Drosophila melanogaster: one gene and its partners. The protein of the gene in region 3 interacts with the protein of the main gene of each other region in a pairwise test. Each region holds a gene or a part of one and is shown on either strand. Other genes may lie near its edges. The genes, in order: dcma, CG34453 and Rsph3.

Region 1 (7,151 bases), on a different chromosome or scaffold from region 3:
AGACACAATGTACCACGCCCACTCCATTTGAGGGCGATCTGGCTTAGTTCCGTGGAGATAAGCAGCTAAGTGACTTTGTCCCGACATCCCATGGCCCATGGGCTGTTGACGGTTTGGTTTCGGATTCGTTTTTGGTTTTTCGAAATCGTGCGCATGAAATAAATACGAATTCTCGATGGTGTTGCGGATGATGTTGTTGGTAGATATAAATTGAATTAAAGTGATATCGGTCGCCGCTGGCCGTAATAGATTAACGAAAATGTAGCCAGGCGTCAGAATAAAATAGACGCCATCCAAATTGAGTTATCAGCATAAATCAAAGGCGGTATTTGGGTATTTGTAAGCACATTATGATTAAGCTCGGGTCGCCTGACTGTCGCCCGACTGGATTGAGCCCTCTTAATGGGTAAGTAAATGCAGCAAACAGCCTTTGCAGCTCAAAAGTTTAGAACACAAATTCTTTTTTAATTAAATTCAAGTGACGACCGCCCCTGCATGTCAAACGCGAGGAGAGCGGAAACTTCCGCCTTTGAGCGAGTCATTTTCAAAGAAATTCGCAAGTTATTCATGGCAACTTTGGGGCCAGGGCAAAAACTTGAGTTGAGTGATATGTTACCAAAGAGTTGACGCCGGGCCAGACCGAAAAAAAAAAAATAATCCTCTCTGGTTTCCGGCCAAGGTCAATGGGTTAGCTGGATTGCAATCCAAAGCTTTAAGCGAGATCCGGGTTTTTGGCACAGGACCAGAACCTGCTAAAAATGAGCAATCAATGCCAGTTGATTACCATTTGTGGAGTTCGGGCAACTCACTTGCCGATGAATCAAGTTAATGAACTAAGTGAATTGGAAAAGTTTCGAACTCTCCCAGTTCGGCTTAAGGACACAAGTATTTGACGTTATCCTTGACGGTTTGACTTGACTTGGGCTTAAAACTCAATGCGCAAGTAACTTTAATGTGTATTTAACTTTAAGTGCACAATAATATTTATCTCTAGCTTAATATCCTGGACATTATTACAAAGTTAGCTGAAAGTCTAAAGTGCTCTTTCTGTTTTGTTTATCATAATGCAGTAATTAGCCTCGTCGTACTTGTTTAATTAAAACTTTAAACTTGTCGAGCATGGCATGCCAATATTTAGATACAAATCTGGTTGCTTTTTTTACCAACCTCGGTTGCGTCCACCGGTGCCATTAGGAAATTGAGTATCTGTCATAAAAAGCCGCTTAGGCCAACATGTTTTAGCGCTTTTCATAAGTTTGTCACGTTCAATTTCCGCTGCGGCACCTTTGATAGCTTCGATGAGGAGTATTTAGTTTAATGTATTGCCATAAATTTAATGCATATCCGAATGGCACTTTAAGTCAAAATCCAGCGCGATGGCGGTCAATCCCAGGCAATTTTGAAATGGCGCTTAGATCCGCTTTTACGACCCCGGTGCCAATGTGAACTTAAGACCCAGCTGCTGGCTAAAGATCATCCCACTTGGCCGTAAAGGAATCTTTTGCCAATTTATTTATGCGAATGCAGGACAAGATGGCCAATACCAACTGGCATGAATGAAATTGTGTTACATACGAATCTAATGCCGGCCAAATGGGAGTTAAAAATTTACTAAATCTAATTGCACTGCAATGTGCAATTGTGGCAAATTGTCATCTGTCACGGAAATTGAAGTGTTTGCGTACAAAATCAGGGACATTCTCAAGCGAGTGCGGCTCCTTGGCAGTAACCCCATTACCGCTAAGTGCCATTGCAGAGGGCCAGGAAAAATTACCTGGCGGATACAGGTGGGCACTGTGGCGTGTTTACGTTCACATTCGGAGGTCTATTTCGATCTATTCTCTGGATGCAATCAATCTTGCGAAGCCATCGAGCGGGCTTATGAAAACAAACACTGCTGTTTCAAATTTATACAGCTAACCAATCACAACATCCGCCACTTAAATTGATGTGTGTGCTCTGTGTTTTTAACTTAAATGAAAATCCGCAAGGTTGTATGCAAATAAAACTCAAAACTATTTAATAATGAATTGCCTTTGCTTTTAAATATTCAAGCTTATCTCGTTGCGTTTATACTTATTTTTGAATTGTGGTCTCTAAAAGAAATTGTTTTCAATGTAATTTTGTGTAGGTGTTAATAAAATATCAAAAATACAGAGTCGGTAATGGATTCCGCTAGCTGTTAATCCTTCACCTATTTTTGGCCCACTTTGAGCCTATGGAGCCCATGGTGCTTCACGGCTGTGTTTGCATTTGCATTTCATTAAAACACAGGCAGGTAAACAAGTTGCCGCTCCTGGCACTCACTCACTCACTTACTCACTTGGCTCGGCTCAACCTCAACCTCGGCGTGAACCGCTGAGCGAATATGTCGTACCCGCGACTACGGCGGATGGCGATGATGATGATGACGAGGACGAGGATGAGGACGAGGATGAGGACGAGGATGAGGACGAGGGCGAGAACTACGGATAGTGGAAGCAGTGAGCTGTTGTTTCAGCTTTCAGCTGCTGGCATTGAGGGCCAAATGACAGTGGGTCCTGCGAGTGAAAGCCTCAAAGAGCAAATGGGGGGCGTGATAGGGTGCAGCGTGCACTGCAATTGCAGACGAGTGGATTTCAAGGCGGCCACTGATTGCACGTGGAACGTGACACGCCCACGGGCATTACAATAAGTATACGCCCGGTGTGTTTCAATTAGTTTGCGTTGTGGCCGAATAAACACGTTAAAAGTGCGTGTAAACAAATGGGGAGCGCACAAAAATGCCAGCAGATAATGACGCCATGTCCGTGGGCAAACAATAAAAGCGTCTCCCAAATTAGGCGGCCATATCAGACGGACCTGACCACATTATTCGGCCCGGCAAACAAGCAACCTGTCACTTGTCACTGGCGACCCCCGGGTTTTATTTTTATTTTTTATTACAACTTTACTCTTCCCCCGGGGAAGAGAGAACGGACAGCCCGGGCATCTGGTCAGATAATTTTCTTTGTTTTCCGGCAAATGTTTTCATTTTTTATCCGCTATTTTTCCACCTATTTTATCACGTTTGCCGTCCCTTTTGTTTCGCCCATCCTATCCCCTGTTTACTTTTCACGCACGTTCACAGGCTTCTCGGAAAACCAGACAGGTAGCAATATGCAAATCAAATAGAGGCCAAATGGTGTTGACAAACGTCGCAAAAAAATGTGTATCGGAGCGGGAAAACGGGGCGAATGCGGAATGGAAAATCCATCGGCACAGAGCTCACGTGCATCCCAAGTGCCCTGGGGAAATTCGAGCGGCACCAGAAAGTAAGAACTTCCCTAATGCAATCCCCTCCGAATTCCGGCTTATGACGGCTCGAATGTCGAACTACGTGGCGGCTCGATTTGCCCCTGGTGAAATTTAAATACGTCACTCTGCTGATCCGATTTGAACTTATTTTATTTGCATTTATTTATTCGACTTGCTTCGGTGCTGCGCCCTCTTTTAATCTATTTTGTATTGATATTTTATTTGATCTAATTGATTGGGTTAAGTGAAATAAGGGGCCTTTGTGTCTCGAAATTTAATTATTGTCTCTTTGACTGATGTCGTTTTTTTTTCTTAAATAAAAGCAGATTTTGGTGTTAAACAACAAGACTAATTCTTTATCTTAGTCGAAAGCAGAAAATATTGTTAACTTGTGTTTCCTACGCATGTTTCAGACATGTTAAAGTGGTACATGCTTTAAGTTCACACTTTTACTACACCAACACTTAAAGTTTCTGGGTGCTATTTATGCTTACATCGAAGTTCCTTTCCAGTTGAGTGTCGGCTATTCACATACTGGATCGAGCAATGCCGATTGTCCAGTTCAATTATTGACACATTATCTGCTACTCAGCTCAGCACGCACTAAAGCCGCAGCACTGACCACCGACCATTATTGACTCAGTACTCAATGCAGGCAGTGGCACAGACCGTATCGCGTATACGCCATGTGGCTCGAATCGAAAACCAAACGCAGCTCGCAACTTGACATGCGCACGTCTTTTGGGCCGCGTGTTCTCGCCTCGACGTCTGTTGTGGGACTAAAAGCCAGAATACTTGCCAGAAGCTGCGGCTGTTGGCCAAGTGAAAGCGTTAACATAGACTCGACAGCAACAGCTGCTCTGTTAACTGGTTTGAGCGCTCTTCTGGCCATTCATTCATAATTGTTTTGAGTGGAATTCTGTGTTGGTCTGATGTTTATTTCCCCTTTTGGGAATACAGAGAAAAATTCTGTGCATAAATAAATATGTATTCCTTGCAAAAAGTAAGCCCTAAGTTTTTATGAGTTAGAAACGGAAAAGAAAAGACTCCGTTCCTCAGATAAAGATATTGCATTTATAAATGTGCTTTATATTTTATAAACGTATCGATTCATAAATATTTTCCACATAAAAATGAGCAATCGAATTGGCCGAAATTCGGATAACTGGTGATCATAAAACCCTTGGCTTATGAACAGAAAAGGCTATGCAAAACTGGCAATGGTTATGTGACTGATGCTGATATTGTTATGTTTTTCTCTCGCTGTGCCAGATTGTTTTGTTGGCAGGACGGAAAATCAATTTGGCTAAGCCGAATGCGACGCTGGGGAGCAACTGAGTTAGCGTCATTCCCGCCACGTGCCTCGCAAATGTTAATGAGCCTGCGTGCCACTACCACAGTCCTTATTTTTATTATGGCCCACTACGATTTCTATGAATACATGGCCTTACGCACTTATGCAAAAAAAAAAAAAATAAAGGGAAATGTTGACCTTTCCCGCGCTGTCAATGCTGCTGGCCAGAGAAGCATAACAAACAAATGCGCGTGAAATGTCAAAATCACTGTCTGCCAGGAGAACAAAAAGCAGAGTAAAAAATAAATACGGAAAAGGGAAAACCCGTGGAAAATGGTAAAAGGATGTGGAAAGATGACGACGCATAAGCGAAAAACAAGCAAACTGCTGGGGGCGAGGCAATCAAGAAAAATTTCTCCAGCAAATGGCATGGCAAATACGAACAGCAGCAACAACCGCAGCAAATTCAAGTGGTTGCAAGTGGTGCGAGAAGTGTGGGGCACGGAAACGGACACGAGTTGATGATGAGGTGGTGGCCCATAAACACACACATGCTAGCCATGCTCTACCAGCGGTCTTAACAAGGCTCAAGTGAATTATAAAAAATAAATGCTCCAACGAGTCCCGAGTCTGTGATACCCGATATGTGGCTGCTATCACTGAAAATTTATATCGGTTTTATATATTAAAGTTTATAAAAATTATGAAATATTTCATTCTCTTAATTAATAAATATTGTATATTTTTTTTCCATTTTACATAACATTTCTTCTTTATCATTTAAACCGGTAAAGATAAAGTTTTGGCAAAAAAGATTTATCACATAACAAGGTAAGCAGGTTTAAACTAAGCCAATGTAAAGCTCACGCTAGCCAGGCAAATAAGCCACAAATAAAGATTAAGCCAACGTACGTGTGCAGAAGCACTTTAAAAGTAAATAAAATAAGTTATTGATAGTAAACACGAAGTGTGCTTTAACTGAACTCCAGTCAAGTAGTGGCTGTATTTCTTGAACTGCAGCTCCCGCAGTTTTTGGCCAGAACAGAATGTTCAACATGCTTTTTATCCAGTGCCACTTTTTTTCGAACAGCAATTGCTGAGGGGCAAGTAAACCGCTGGTAGCTTGTGTGCGGTTTTGTTTGGGCCCCCGTTTTATCCTGTGGCCATCAGTTTTGTGTGAGCTGAGCATAGGGCCAGGAAGCCAGATACGAAATGCTTCGGGCTTAGAGCAACAAACTCGAAATTAGCCGCAAGTATTACACCTCCCGCTGTGCCACATGTTGCAAGAGAAATGGCAACGACTTACAACTGCAACTTTCTGTAGCCACAATATGTCAATTTGTCAACACACCCGCCACGCAGCCAACGAGATGAGAAAACATTCTGGCGGAAAAATAGTGCACAACCTTTGCGGTCTCTGGCTTAATGCAACTTTTTAGCGCAACTTTTTAATTAGTTCAAGTTTATCGTCAAATTTGCATGCACAAACTTTTGCCGGGGCAACGCTGCGTATGCTTAACATGTTTCGTGCATAGCAACTGAATTGCATTTGTGTGCCGAAATCAATGGCATTAGCATTTAAAGGAGAAAAGCACAGAAGCTAGTAGCAGGGCTTACTCGCCTGAAATAACAATGATTTAAAACAAAGCATTAGCAGAAGGCTCAAAGGCTGTCACAAGCAAATTATTTTCGCCACTGGAGTGCATCATTAAAAGGGGATCAATTCACGCAAGAGCGCATAACAATGCAGCCAACGAAATCTTTCTGTTTCAGCCAAAGTCAAAGTTAGCCTTGGATTTCGGCCGTAAGTCCCAATTAATTGCCTGCAATTCGGTAACTTAAGACCATCCGGTTCTCGAAGAGCTTTGCATTTATATGGCGGAGACGTTTGTCCTTATGTACTAACTCACAAGTATACAGTACAGTTGGATTTGAAAATGTAAATGCGATGCAGGCGACAAAAATACGCTCCACTGCGCTCCCTCTTGATTTTAGTTTCGGGGCTTCTACTTTGTTTCATTTTATTTTATTTGGTTTTTTTCTCGCTTCGGAACACTAATGAGCATTTAAGCTTGCGGCTTGTCATGAATTTTATTTTTTTTTGTGTCTACTACAGCTACTGCTGTTGCATTTGCATAAATTGTATTTCCCAAATGGTACGGAGTTGAAAAAATAAAGTTGTTGCTTTAATTTAATTGATTTGCATTTTTAGTGAATTTTAACAAGTTCAACAAAAGGATAAAAATACTTTTCGGTGCAGTATGGGTTCTCACGTGCGTTTTATTGGCCAGCCAAATTCATTTCGCACAAAACAAATCCCCCAGTGTTTTCCTTTTGATTTTCAGATTAGTTTTTCATTGATTTATGGGCCATGTTTTATACAACTAGAAGTGCACACTTTAATCGCGCCAAATGTTTGGGCTTCGGCTCCCTTCGTTTCCCCAATTTTTGCTTTTGTTTTTTCTCTCCCACTGTCCGTTTGTTTGTATCTCATTCTGGGCCATTTAATGCGTATACGCAGTGTGTGCTGGCATTTCTTGGTGGCCACAAACGGAAGCGCTAAACCAAACATAAAAACAAA
Region 2 (6,791 bases), 6.5 Mb from region 3:
GTATCAATAGCTTATACTCGTATGATGAATTCGAATTATTTTGTGCAAGAAATTGAAGAAGAAGAAGATTATGATGATGAGATTATTGTCGTCTGCAGTCCGCCGAATCAAATTGTACCTTCACCTCCCCGTGAAGTATTCGAAGGTAGAATTTTAAGAAGTGAATTGCCGTGCCGCACCAACAATAATTGTAAGCCAATTTTGCAAGCAAAAAAAATTAAAAATTTATAATCTAGTTCTAGTTGAAGATCAAGACAATATTGAGCAGCATCGCCTAAAATATGAAAGTGAAGACCTTAAACGATGTTCATTGCAGACCAACAACATCGAAATCGACGCCGATACGCTAGCAACAACTTACGAAGCCAATTCAACTATTAAAGATATTGCTATTAATAATGGCGATGATCAGGAAAACAGTAAATGTGCAGAAACAGAAAATTCTAATATTACAACTAATGAGTCCTTTGCCGGTACATCTTCCCTATTAGAGGGTTCAGAACATGATGAACCAACTAACCTTGCCGGCCTCGATATATCAGAAACAGACTTAGAAAATAAACAAAACGAAAGCTTCGTTGTTACCAGAGGATACATACAGAAGTGTAAGTGTTAAAAAATGAATAAAAATACAAATGTGTTTGAAATAATAAGTGCCATGATTTTCAGCTATTTCAAATGCTCTGAAACAAGGTAATTTAAGTCCGGAACTTGAAGAAAAACTTGTTTGTATGCAGAAGCAACAAGAAAATGCGAATTCGACGAATGAGTGGGAAACATGCTCAAGGGGCAGTGTGAATGAGGAAGCACTAACTCCCAGTCGCCAAACTGATGACACTGAATGGAAAATTCGTACTTCCTTAAGACGCCCAAATGCTATGACAACAAGCAGCCAATTTAATCGAATTTTAAAAAAAAATCGGAGCAAGAATGACGAAGTCGCTGAACTTGGAGAGCAAAAGCAATCGCAATTGGAACGTCATAAAGAATTGCTTAAAAAAAATATTTTGCGCAAGCGTTCCTTATTAGAGCGTAATTTACAAAGCGAAATACACGAAGATGTAAAAACTAAAGTCCAAAGACATGTACGCCCCTTAAGTAACGCTTCACCGGATGAACAAAGCGAAAATGAGAGAAGTGGCGAACCAAATTTAGATTTTAAACGGTACGTATACTCATGCACTTGTGTGCAATATGATATATCTAATAATACCTAAATCAAATCGTAGGACAGAGGTGCAGAACCCCAGACATGGCGCAGGCCGACCAAAAAAGTTGACAAGAAAAAAGGAAAAGTTGTATTGCATTTGCCGTACTCCATATGATGACACAAAGTAATGCAGAAATGCATATTCTTAACGCGCTTTTAATTAATATATTGTAATTGTGTCTATGTAGGTTTTACGTGGGGTGCGACTTGTGCAGCAATTGGTTCCATGGGGATTGTGTCAGTATTACCGAGGAAGCTTCTAAAAAACTATCGGAGTTCATTTGCATTGATTGCAAGAGGGCGAGAGAAACGCAACAGCTTTACTGTAGCTGTCGTCAACCATACGACGAGTCACAATTTTATATATGCTGTGATAAATGCCAGGATTGGTTTCATGGCCGTTGCGTTGGAATACTTCAGAGCGAAGCAGAGTTTATTGATGAATATGTTTGCCCTGAATGCCAACGCAAAAACGATGCTAACGCTGCAAATATGAAGAAACTGACTTCAAATGACGTTGAAGAGCTGAAAAACTTAATTAAGCAGATGCAGGTAATAACCTGAAATTCATAATAATTTTTATTTATTATTAGGGACCTTAATTAAATAAAATTTAATTTTGTGGGAATCGTTATTCTGTGTTAGATAAACGAACAAATCGTTTATATATTGATGGCATCAAACATGTTAAAATACGGTAATGTTTGTAAAATTGTTGAAAAAATATTACAAAGTAACGAACAGAACGAAAGTATTATAAGTTCAAGACCAAGTGAATCAAATATCCAATTCGTTCATTCGTTTCACATTCATTTCTGGCTAACGAAAAACTCTCAACTGTAGCACATCAAAAATGGAATAAATATTAAATTTCCCTACAGTTACACAAAAGTGCTTGGCCATTTATGGAACCGGTTGATCCGAAGGAAGCACCCGATTATTACAAAGTGATTAAAGAGCCAATGGGTATGTAACACAAAAAATAAATTTATTCGAAAATAAATAAAATGGGGATATTTTTTTCTATAGATCTCAAACGGATGGAAATTAAACTCGAATCAAACACCTATACCAAACTATCTGAGTTTATAGGCGATATGACAAAAATTTTTGACAACTGCCGTTACTATAACCCAAAAGAATCATCCTTTTATAAGTGTGCTGAAGCACTAGAGTCATACTTTGTGCAAAAAATTAAAAATTTTCGCGAAAATGTTTTTGACCAAAGAACATAAGAAATAATAGCCCTTGAAAACTTTAGAACAAATGATTATAGTTTATAAAGACACTTCTAACAATTTGAAAAACGTCCTTCAGTTATGTATTCTTATTTTGAATCAAATGTTATATAAACATATATTATCAATAAAAACACATATAATTAATTATAATAAATTATGTACATATTGACCATATTTAGTAACGTACACCAGTATGCAATAAATTTCATATTCACCAGACATTTGTAAGATTAAAAATAATTAAGTAAAACCCCCTTTGTACAAAACATTAAAGTGTAAATAAACAGCATGCATTTCATTTGATATCCTTATCATATGCTGTAGGTTTAAACTTAGGCGTATGTAACTTGTAAAAATACAAGCTTATAATAAATGTTCAGCATATTTTGAAAATAACTTGCATTTATTTAGTCTTTGGTTTGTTTACTGCTCATTGGACTTTTAAATTCACACCTACTCAGCAAAAACAAAAATATACCTTAAATAGCTTATTAATATTATTAGACGGATTCTTTGCACTAAAATAACAACAAAATCCTCATTTGTTGATCTGCATTGAAATTTTTGTAGGCCCTTGCATAGGGTATATTTTGTAACAGTCCGAAATTTGCTTCGCAATGAAGGTACCCTTTATGATCACAAACTATATTCCTATATTCTTGATCAATATCAGCAGACGATGCGACATAACAAAGCCCGTCCGTCAGTTTCTACGCAATCCAGTCTCTCAGTTTTAAAGCAGTTATACATGGAACTTTCCCAAAAGTCTTCTTTCGGTTGCAAATGTCACTATATAACGTAGTCGTTACTAGACTGTCCAGAAGTTGTTTATTCTACGAGTAATGGGTATAAAAATACTAATTAACTGGTTGCCATGGCGAGCGTGCGCAGAAAACGGGTTTATTAAACAAAATTATTGACTAGTTAAACATAATAAAACGATGGAACCTGCTAAAGTGATTGGAAAGCTGTAAGAGTTCAGCACATCTTATTAAAATATGAATAGCAGATATTATTAACAATTTTAGAAAGGAGCAAGTGCGCATGGAGCACAATTCGCGTCGTAGTTTTCCAAAAGCTTGGAGCGAAATTTCGGGCAAGCAAACTAACAAGTTCTACCACCAATCTGAGATTAATTCTCAACTAAGTAACCAGCTAAAATTAAAAGGTATATTTACATAGAGGTTTATAATTGTGCACTCACATACTCTACCCTATAGACCTGTGCCCTTTTGTGCACAACAACCAAGGCGAATCGCGATTCGTATCTCCGGAGATGTACAAACCTTTACTGGCCGTCTGTCGCTGTGGGCGAACTAAGGAAAGCATCCATATGGGAAAATGCTTACAAAGAGCCTTGAGTCCAGATTACAAGCAAGAAATGGTACAGAATGGCACTGATGCATGGAGTGCAGAACCATTTAATGTGCCTTCCACTTCAAGCTGTAAGTAGTGCACCTACATTTAATTGTATGGGTACAACAATATAAAGAGATTTTCAGCTACCATTGGCTTCGCAGCTATTTCGAAAAACTACCAAAAGCTGGAGCGTTCTATGCAATATGTTTCTCCTGCGTTTTCCATGCCTGGCCCTCGAATTACAGCAGTCCCTTACTATAATATTATTATTGGATAAGTCATCACGAATTTTAAAGTTTCTTGTTGGTCATTTCCAACCCATATTTTTGATGAATCAAATCTGGGATTTCCCTAGATTATTGCAAATATAAGCACATGATAATAAACTTAAAATTGATAGCGGGCATCGTACAGAACTGGATTTTCCAGACGATTGACTGCTTTAGAAACCTGTATTCAGTGGCGTTCCCATATCTTATTTACTACTTTGTATTTTGATTCACTGAATTAAAACTTTCCAGTATATGTGAAGTTCCTTATGCTTAGTGCAGCTGATTCTTGTGTTGGTTCAGTTTCCCTCGATCAGCGAACGAAAGCACATACGACTATAAGCTTCAGGATTCAGTTAAAGATGTGCATCAATTGGCATCCAATATTTATTTTTGCTTGTTTAAGTCAGTTGGGCGCAGCCCAAGAACCTTTAATTTTCGAAACATCTCGTAGCCCATGGAACAATGCCGCCGCAACGACGTCAATACCAATTTCGCCCACCAGCGCAAACTTAGTTTTGGTTAACAATGTAAGAATACCAGGAGGTCTTACACCATTTGTACCAGCACCGGCCCCAACCAAGGAATTTCTGAACTGCTTTGGTAACTGTCCCACCACATCGCAATACAATCCCATTTGCGGCAGCAATATGCAGCTTTATATGAACGAGGAAAAATTTAATTGTGCTCGTTTCTGTGGAGCTGGTGAGTCCATTATATCCATTATATTATTATTTTTTAATCGAAAATATACTTCACTATTCGTTTTTAGACATTCAAATAGTTCGAAGAGGTTCTTGTGAGGGTCTTTTTGCGATGACGCGAGGTTGATATGCAACAACCAGCTATTTAATGTAATAGATTAATATACTCCAACTAAGATATTTTCAGTTTAAATATTATTATGGCACAGAGATAAGACGCCACGCAGTACATAACAACGCAAAATAATATAAATAAAATAAATACATACTAATGCAAAACAATCAAGATAACCTTGACGCACTTGTAGAAAATTTCGAAATGGATTCCCAAGACAGTTCCGTTCTGAATTTCAGAGAGAATACTTGCAAACATGGAGGCGATTTATCAATTGGTCGTAATCTTAGGTACATTATATACATAAATATATTTTATTCTGTGTGAAAGCTCCTTCTAAAATATCCGTTTTCTACTCAGCTATTATTTTTGGGCATCTGCAGTTCCAGTCCACGGTGTTAGCTGACCCTGCTTTTCGTCGCCCAAATGCCATCGCGCCCGCCCGCACCTATAGCGGTGTATACAACCACTCGACGATTCACAGAGCTGTCGAAAAGTCCAATTTGACTGCCCCGGCGGTTCACCAACCTGTCCTCCAGGCACCCGGATTTATAATACCATATCAGAACCGTTCGTTGGTTCACGCCAATCAGGGATCTCATGGCGTTTTACCAGGTAGCGTTCCAGCGCAAGATTCAGGTCCTTCCAGCGTCTGGGTGGCCAGTAATAATCACCAACCAGGAGTAACTGGCGTTCTTCAACCAAACCCATCCCAAGGTAAAATCGTAAATCCACCATTTGTCATTGGCAAAAATAATGGATCGTTTTATTCAACCTATAATGCAACAGTCCCTGGCAGGACTTATCCTTATGGAAACCTTTCCATTTGAGCAATTATAAAATTTTACCAAAACCCAATAAACCAAATTAAGATTAGCATTCTTTTCAAAAATCAATTTATTGTGATCTTAAATCGTTTCATGTATTAGAATCATCGGCATAAGTATTGGGGTTGCTTTCCGGTATTCCAGAAGTGTAAATAAATGTATATTCAATGAAGATTTTCCATATAAGGGATAATCAGGGATGCGTATTTTTGGAGGCGTGATTACGCTGATCACGCCACCTAAGTATATCAGCTTTGAACTATCAATAAATGGAGTGACACGCATGTATATGGAATGCGATGGCTGACCAATTGCCGAAAAATTAAACCGAGGATCCCTCGCCGCCGTCAGAAATTCCCGCGCTGCAGTCCTAAACTCCCACGCTGCCGTCAAAAAAGGTCCCACGCCGCCGTCCAATCTTATAAGAATCCCGCGCCGCTGTCCAGAACCTCGATCCCTCGCTGCAGTCCCGATCTCCGTCTCCCACGCCGCAGTCATCTCCATTGATGTAAATTCCAGTAGTCTTAAGAATATGGTTCCTAGCGCCCTGGCCTAAACGCCCTAATAATCCCGCGTTGCAAAAACTTGATATCCCTCGCCGCAGTCTGAACTATCCGTACGTCCGCCGCCGTCGTCTTTGAGAGCCGAAAATCCCACGCCGCTGTCCAAATTTACTCCTAGGCCGCTGTCGATGGTTAAATTAGACTGAATCCCACGCCGCAGTCCAAGTTAGAGAATCATTCTTCAACAAATCTAATATCCTCACGAAGGGTCCTCACAAAGAAAAAGAATCGACCAGTGTGTAGCGAAGCGAAAGCTGTATGCAATCCAACTTTTATATTGGTTCGAAGGGGTACGGGTTGAAACAAGGATTGAAGTCGTCATCAGTGCCGAAACTCGTAAAGAATTAGGTGCTATCCCAAGCCAGTAGTGTGAAATCGATGGTGCTTAGTGAAGAAATGATACCTCCAGCCTACTTGTTGCTCCAAATGCAGATAATGAGGAATGATCCGAGGAGGATTTTAGGACTTCTCATAATAAAAATGACCAAATCGTGTGGTGCTCC
Region 3 (7,151 bases):
CGGTTCAGTTCAGCTTACCGCATGGCAAATTCGACGAATTTCCTGCGGTTTTCAAGCATTTCACTTGCCCTGCAAACGTAGGGACAAGCCTCCTCCTCCTCCTCCTCCTCGACCGCAAACAGCATTGGTCGAATTCAATTTATTGTAAATGTGCAAAAGGATTTGTTGCGGATCGGGTTGCCCGAGAATGCGAACCCAAAATGCAGCTGTACTCGAGGCGAAAAATGGGGGAACAGTTGTCCTTCTCGTTAACATGGCACATCCGCATGTCAAAAATGTCGCACAAAAATCAATCGGACGGCCATTCTGGGGTCCACTGGGGGTCCAAAAGGGAGGGTCAAGCGTACCAGGAACCCTGGTTGGAAAAAAAAAATCCAACAAAATTTTAAACAGAAATAAAAACAAAAAGCAGGCAAAAGGCAAACCCAAGCCAACTGAAAAGCAAATTAGCAATTCCGATGCGACCATTTATATTGTTCATTCTCATTGTTGTTGACGATCGTCTGATCGCGTTTATATTTTTATTTCATTTTCTATTTCCCCCTTAAGTGTGTATCAGTGTGTAAGGAAAAAAAAAAAAGAAGCTTGCTCGGTTTTTTTTTTAGAATTATTCCGCCGTGTAGTTGGAAGCGATCGTTTGGAAGCAAACGGATTTAGCTGTTATCAAGTCGCCAGCGAAAATGCAAATCAGACGCACAAAAGTCAACCGAATGGCGAAATGTAAGGGGCGGCAATGTCTAATGTCTGACTAAAACTAACTAAAACCAACAAAAACGACATTTTCACTTACCTCGCACATTTGTCAGGCGAAGAACGACGAGGAAGTTAAAGAGCCATTTATGCTCCAAATGTCAGCAATCAATAATACTCGGAAATATTTCAGTCATGCAAGCTTGTACCCCCGAAAAAGCTACAAAAATGTTTGCGTGTTTTGCATTGCTTATATATGGGGCTTGTCATTAGGAGAAAAATGGTTATATTTATTTTAATTTGCCTGAGTTTGTTTATCGGTTAAGGTCTGGAGAGGGCCAGCATGTAGATTATCAACAGAAATATTATCTGACAATTTAAGACAGTTCTATACCCATGAATTACTTTCTATAACTTCTTCAAATATGGCATGCAATTAATCAACAATCAGTTTTCAGTTTTGTTTTAACATTACTACAAGTACTCTGTATTTGATTTATTTATAAATTTCATTACCATAATCCAGTTTAATTTCCGTATGCACGATAAATCATATTAATATGAAATAAAAATTTTAATAAAGCAGTAATCAAATTAATTTTTTAAAATTTGCATTATTTGATATATTTAAATCATTACAATTTAAAATTTTTATACTTCTACTTTAGTTTTCTTTAATTTCTTTGAAATGACTAATGTGGTGAATCTAGGCCACTCAATATTTTCCAGATTACGCTTACATTTATTTTCACAGATTTACCCATAACTACATATTTTATGATCCTGTTGGCGCCACAGTCGCACATAAATAACTCATAAAAAAGTGCCCACAACAGCAGCCCGCAGATAATTCAACAATTGTGTCTGCCGAATGTTTTTTACGATCCGCAACCGTTAGGAACCCGAAGATCACTTTCCCTTCGACAAGCGGTAATAAATTAATCAAATCCCGTGCTGGACGTAATTTTTCCAGGGAAAATTGCAGCTCACACCTACACAGTGAAATGGATAGTATCTTGAGGAATATCGAGGAGTATCCGCAGTAAATGATTTGTTTGACAAGAAGCCAACAAACTCAGTGGGATGCCTTTGCCCGGTGACTTCGCAGAATCCGTATCGTATCTGAGCAAATGATCGGGAAATTGCGGGACAAGATCTCAGTCGCCAGTTGTCGCCTGTGTGGCCATCATTAACCTTTGAACTCACTAAATGGCCAAAGGACCACAGCGAATGTCAAACGTCATGGCCACTTATCGAGTGCGGACTGTTGTTCCTGTGATCTTATTAGGCATTTTCGGGAATTTCAAGGGGTTCGCTTCGGACGCAATTATCACCCCCGCATAAAGCGAAACGTCATCGTTGACAGCCACGTCATTGTTGTCCAGTCCGAAGACCAAAGTCCTTCGAACTATTTGTTAATGAATAGACAGAACCATACAAAAGATTCTGTGTAACTCGAAACAGAAAAAGGGGGTCAATTCAAATGACAAACGTTCGATAGTCCGAGATATGATAAGCCTTGAAAACCTAATTAAATGACACGTTCCAGGGAAATTCGATTCAGGCGTGGCTACATCGAAACGTTTTAACTGATGGCAAGCGATTTAACTTAGTGATAAATAGTTTAGAAAATTCAAAGTCATTTTAATATCAAGGAATTAGTGAGATTTTTTGATGTCCCCAAGGCAATTGTGCAACCAAATAGACCAAAAATGTAATTTATCTGCAAACTTACCACTAATCGATGATAACAATTTTGAAATAAAATTTTTTTATAAACTTTTTTCTTTGTTACTGTAAACTATTTAATATTAGCCAATAAATAGTAGCATTGAAAACTGCTTGCAATTTAGGTTCGGGTTTACTGCTTGCTGACAAGTAAAACAAAGTATACATATGTATAATATACATTTTACTGTAAAAAAATATTCACATTGTAAGTGTATAATGTCATGTAGAAAAATATAGTTATTTTGCTTAGGACTTGTAAAATGTTTTAACCATTTTAGACCTTAATGAATAATTTTAAAAATTGTAAAATTTATACAAAAAACATAAATAATTATTTTTCTGCCATCCTGCTTAAATTTAACGATGCGCTTAAAGTGTCAATTAAAAATCTATCTATGAATCAAAATCCCGAACAGCAGCTGTATCTGCAGAATGCATGCAATGTAGTTGGAATAATAAATCAGTAATAATAAAATGATAATGATAAATAATAAATAAATTATATTGGTATTTGGTCAAGTCCAGCTAAAAGCTAATAAAGCTCCTTAGAAAAAGTTGCTTTGCATTAGTTTCTCCTTGCTAGGAAGATATAAAAATAGATTCCTCATACTGAATGATAGTTAGTTGTGTATAATATATGGGAATGTGTAGTGACCATTCGCTAAGCGAAAGTTAGAAGGAAAAATTGCAAATGTCTCGATAGACTTTCAGTCAAAAAACGAACAAAATCTATCGAGTGTTAATACGAATAAAGTGCATTGCCAAAGACCCATCCCCACACAGCAACAGTTTAACAATGCCGACTTTCAATTCCCATGGCAACTGAGGAAATTCCGCCGTCGTTGTTTATTTTGGATACAAATTTTTTGATAATACAATATTTTTTTAAATATGGAGATAAAAACATAGGACAAAGAACTCCAGTGAAAATGTGTCACATAAATAAATCTATTTTGTACACATAAATTTGGCAAGCGGTAGACCTTTATCCGATATATATATTTTAAGTTTTTAAAAACCTCAATAACGCAACATAGCAATAGTTAGCAATGCCGACGATCCCGAAGAGGGATTACAAACCCAATGGTGGTGGCAAAAGCTCAGGAATGGATTTCCTCAGTTCCGGCATCAAGGGAACCGAGGTCACCGAGATGCAGCTCAAGTGGCACGAGAATCCTTGTCCAGCGCCACCATGCAAACAGGCATTTTGGTGGGCCAGCCATCCCAAGCCGATCAAAATCAAAGGTTGCCCCAAGTAAGTATCAAACAGAAGCCACCCAAAGAATTTCCCATGCTTCCCTGTAATTCCCTGTAATTTAAGTCCGACAAGTAGGGTATATTGAATATTTCGTAAAATTATATTATAATATTAATCAACTTTCTTACTTTCTTTGTAATTTATATAATATATAATAATTCAATAAGTAGTTAAGAAATCATTTATACGCTACAAATATGAACCATTAGAAATTGTAAGCTCGAGTTAATTATCATGGGTATTACTCCTCTTGTAATGAGTATCCTATAGTTGCAAAACCATTGCTTTTTGTAACGCCTTGCAGGGGAATTTTCTACACCTTTATATGTCTCCCCACTGGGGTCAATGGAACCCAAGACCAAAAACGAAAGTCATAAATTGCGTAAATAAATTATTAAACGCTGGCCGTGTTCGGCTGATGGTCAATACAATGGCCCCACTAAAGGACACGCAAACTTGGTACGATTTTGAATAGAAACATTCGTGTTCTGAAGGGAAACAATAGAAGGAGTGCACAGGACAGGAAATTATGAGGAGTGTGGAAGTCGATGAGTGCTTAAAACTATTGTAGAAATTGACGCACTAGTATCATAAAAATATACAAATATATCTGACTACCGATAATGACGGGGGCTGGACTTGGGTCGGATTAAGGTCAACCAGGGAATAAGGATGATCCCCAAATATGATAAAAACCCAATAAACTATAGTGTATCTAAATCCAGTTGTAGTAAAGTGCTCATTCTTCTCTCAAGCTAAAAATCGAATAAATACTACAGTGTGGTATATCTTATATCTTATCATTTATTCGAATATATTAGTACATCAATTCTGAACTGTATATGTTCAAATTAGGATAAGAATACCGTGCTTTAGGTCAGCCAACGAATTTAATCATATAGAAGTATGATTGAGTGAAAGAAAATTACCTTTTTTAACAACAGGCTTTACCAAAAGCTTTTGGACTTCTGATACATTCTTACCAATTCCTGTTACAATAATCTTTCATCTATTCACTGACCTTTCTTCATTGCCAGTAAAAAAGAGTGACTCCTTGGAGTGCCAAGAAATCTACTTAATTATGCTTAGTTCCCTGTTGAATTCCGCTTATCAGGCAGTCCAAGCAATTGACCTTGGCCATTGACAATACCTAGGAGGTGTTCCAAGTAATAGAGAGCCACCCACCTCCTTTTTCAATGTCAGGCAGGGAAATGCGTGAAGTCATCTCCGACAATGTGAAAGGAAATGTGGACACCATCGAAACAAATTCAAGGTCCCTCCGCCGGGCGAAACCTTTAATTGGAGACCCCAACGAAACTACTTGGATGGAAAAGAAAAAGCTCTTATGCAAAGTAGAATTCCTGGGAACGTGGATTTGGCCATGCCAATGCCACCGACTGTTAACAGTTCGCATTATTATTGCAACACCTGCCCATCATGTGCCTCAAACTGCGAAGCAAGCGATACACTCAGAAAAAAATTTGAAAAATATGTGTATATAGTATAGAAACTTACATTGTGGCACGCACGCGAAGTATTGTTATTTAAACTTATGAAACAGCAACATGAATAGTTTAAATATGCAATTTTCTATATAAACCAATTGCAGCACTTTAAGGATATTTTTACTAAAAATGTCCTTTGAAGTAACAGCTCAATTCCTGGAAAGCTTTAGTCGTGGGCAGTAGGAGACTATATGTTCCACATATTTTTCCAACTGCACGACGACTGCTGACCACGGGCCGAATCCAAAGTCGAAACCGGGTCCGAGCGCGAGTTCCACGAGTCCTGCGAGTCCTTTGGTCATTTGGCGTTTGCCATTCGAGCCGTGCGGTACGTGTTCCGCGACAAAATCAAACAATCAACCAACGAACGCAACACCTGAGCGGCGCACAAAAGGGAAAAATATAGGAAAAGTATTGATTAAGTTTTTCGGTGCGGCGGGTGAGAGAACCGTGTGGTGGCTATTTATAATGAACGAGGTGACCGGCGGCCGGGAGCAGGGATAACCGAGACGGTAGCGGAGACCATGCCAGAGACGGAGCAGCAGCAGCACCCAGCACACTCACATCCTGAACTTAAGCCAGATCCACAGCCAGTGCCAGAACTGGAGCACCTCACCGACAATAGACCGAATCGCGTGCAGAACTTCTCCTTCGCCAGCAGCTATCCCTACGCACCAGGACGCGTCTCGTCCAGCTCCAATTCGAACACCAACTACAGCTCCACCAACTACAACGCCGGCGGCTTCAACGTCCAGCGCTATCAGAGTCCCTACAATTTCCAGCACGTGGTGACCAACGCATTCTCGGTGCTGCGCCATCAGCCCTCCGAGGAGCCCGAATTCGATTCCTATCCAACGCGACCCCAACAGGCCATCGTGCGTCCGATTAGACGTGAGGCGGGCATAGCTGATAACCGTGATAATCATGTAGGGAATCCTCCACAGCGATCGCACTTCTCGCGCAGCAACCAGGAGGTGCGCAGCTTCGCCGATGAGCTGAGCCAGAAGCTGCGCTTCCTGGCGCCGGAGGAGCAGAACTACGGCGGTCGCCAGAGCGCCAATTCCGGTGCCTGGATGGATCCAGCGATGTCGCAGCGACCACGATTCGAGACCACAGTGCCGCAGGGCATCTTCCTGCCGCCTCCGCATGAGGTCCAAATGATACCGGCCACCATGCTGAGGAGGCATGTCTACGCCTACTCCTCATATCCCATGATCCTCCAAGGGTATCTCACCAAGGAGACCGGCAGTGAGAGCAAGGAGCAGAAGGTGACCGCCACCCGGCTGAACGGTTTGCGTGCCACGGCGGCAGTGGCGGCGGCCACAGCTGCGGCCTCCAAATCCTCCCGTAACGATACGCAATCCCTCGCCGGTGGACTCCACATCACCAAGGCTCAGTTCCAACAACAACTGCAACAGCGTCGCTCCACCAGCAACAACAACAACAACAGCAGCAGCAACATCAGCGACAAGAGGTAATAAAAAGACCAACCCCCAAAATGGTATGGGTGCTAAACTTGGAAGTAAAAAAAAAAAAGGTGGGAAGTGGAAAAGGTCCGACAACTGACCAAGGCAAAGTGGGCCAAAATATATTACCATAAATTCAAATGAGTAATACGTACGTACCTACACTGCCATTCTGCAATGGAACCAGAACTTAGCTCCCCACTTCAGTTCCTACGGCCATTATCGATTGACACCCAAACAATTCAATTACAAATAGGTTTTGTGGTTTAAAGTGCCGAATTGAATCCTTCAAGGATTTGTTATCTAAACTGATATAGATTCAAGATGATACCTTATTGATCTGTTTTTAGACTTTACTATGACACGCAAATAGAATGGAAGGCTCTTCATCAGCCAAGTTTCTTGTGTGGCTCACCCACTTTCACAATTAACTCTTTAACAATTCAATTAGAAATGCTTTTCCAATAACATTCGGACATTGTAAATTCCCTGAACGGTTTG

The links.
Region 1: the proteins of Rsph3 (region 3) and dcma interact in a two-hybrid assay, tested with the Drosophila melanogaster proteins (one large-scale study listed by BioGRID).
Region 2: the proteins of Rsph3 (region 3) and CG34453 interact in a two-hybrid assay, tested with the Drosophila melanogaster proteins (one large-scale study listed by BioGRID).

The regions. Positions count from the first base shown.
Region 1 is NT_033779.5:4,691,611-4,698,761, reverse strand, and holds the start of dcma (decima), read right to left. Parts: upstream 4,042-7,151; 5' UTR 3,771-4,041; intron 1-3,770.
Region 2 is NT_037436.4:229,953-236,743, reverse strand, and holds CG34453 (uncharacterized protein), read left to right. Parts: upstream 1-3,392; coding exon 3,393-3,421; intron 3,422-3,479; coding exon 3,480-3,619; intron 3,620-3,671; coding exon 3,672-3,896; intron 3,897-3,953; coding exon 3,954-4,087; 3' UTR 4,088-4,264; downstream 4,265-6,791. Other genes in the region: E(bx) (enhancer of bithorax), read left to right, coding at 1-190, 243-605, 670-1,165, 1,230-1,334, 1,399-1,762, 2,092-2,176, 2,240-2,445; CG34454 (uncharacterized protein), read left to right, coding at 4,442-4,784, 4,852-4,910; CG42846 (uncharacterized protein), read left to right, coding at 5,155-5,188, 5,259-5,728.
Region 3 is NT_037436.4:6,759,448-6,766,598, reverse strand, and holds the start of Rsph3 (radial spoke head protein 3), read left to right. Parts: upstream 1-5,484; 5' UTR 5,485-5,708; coding exon 5,709-6,658; intron 6,659-7,151.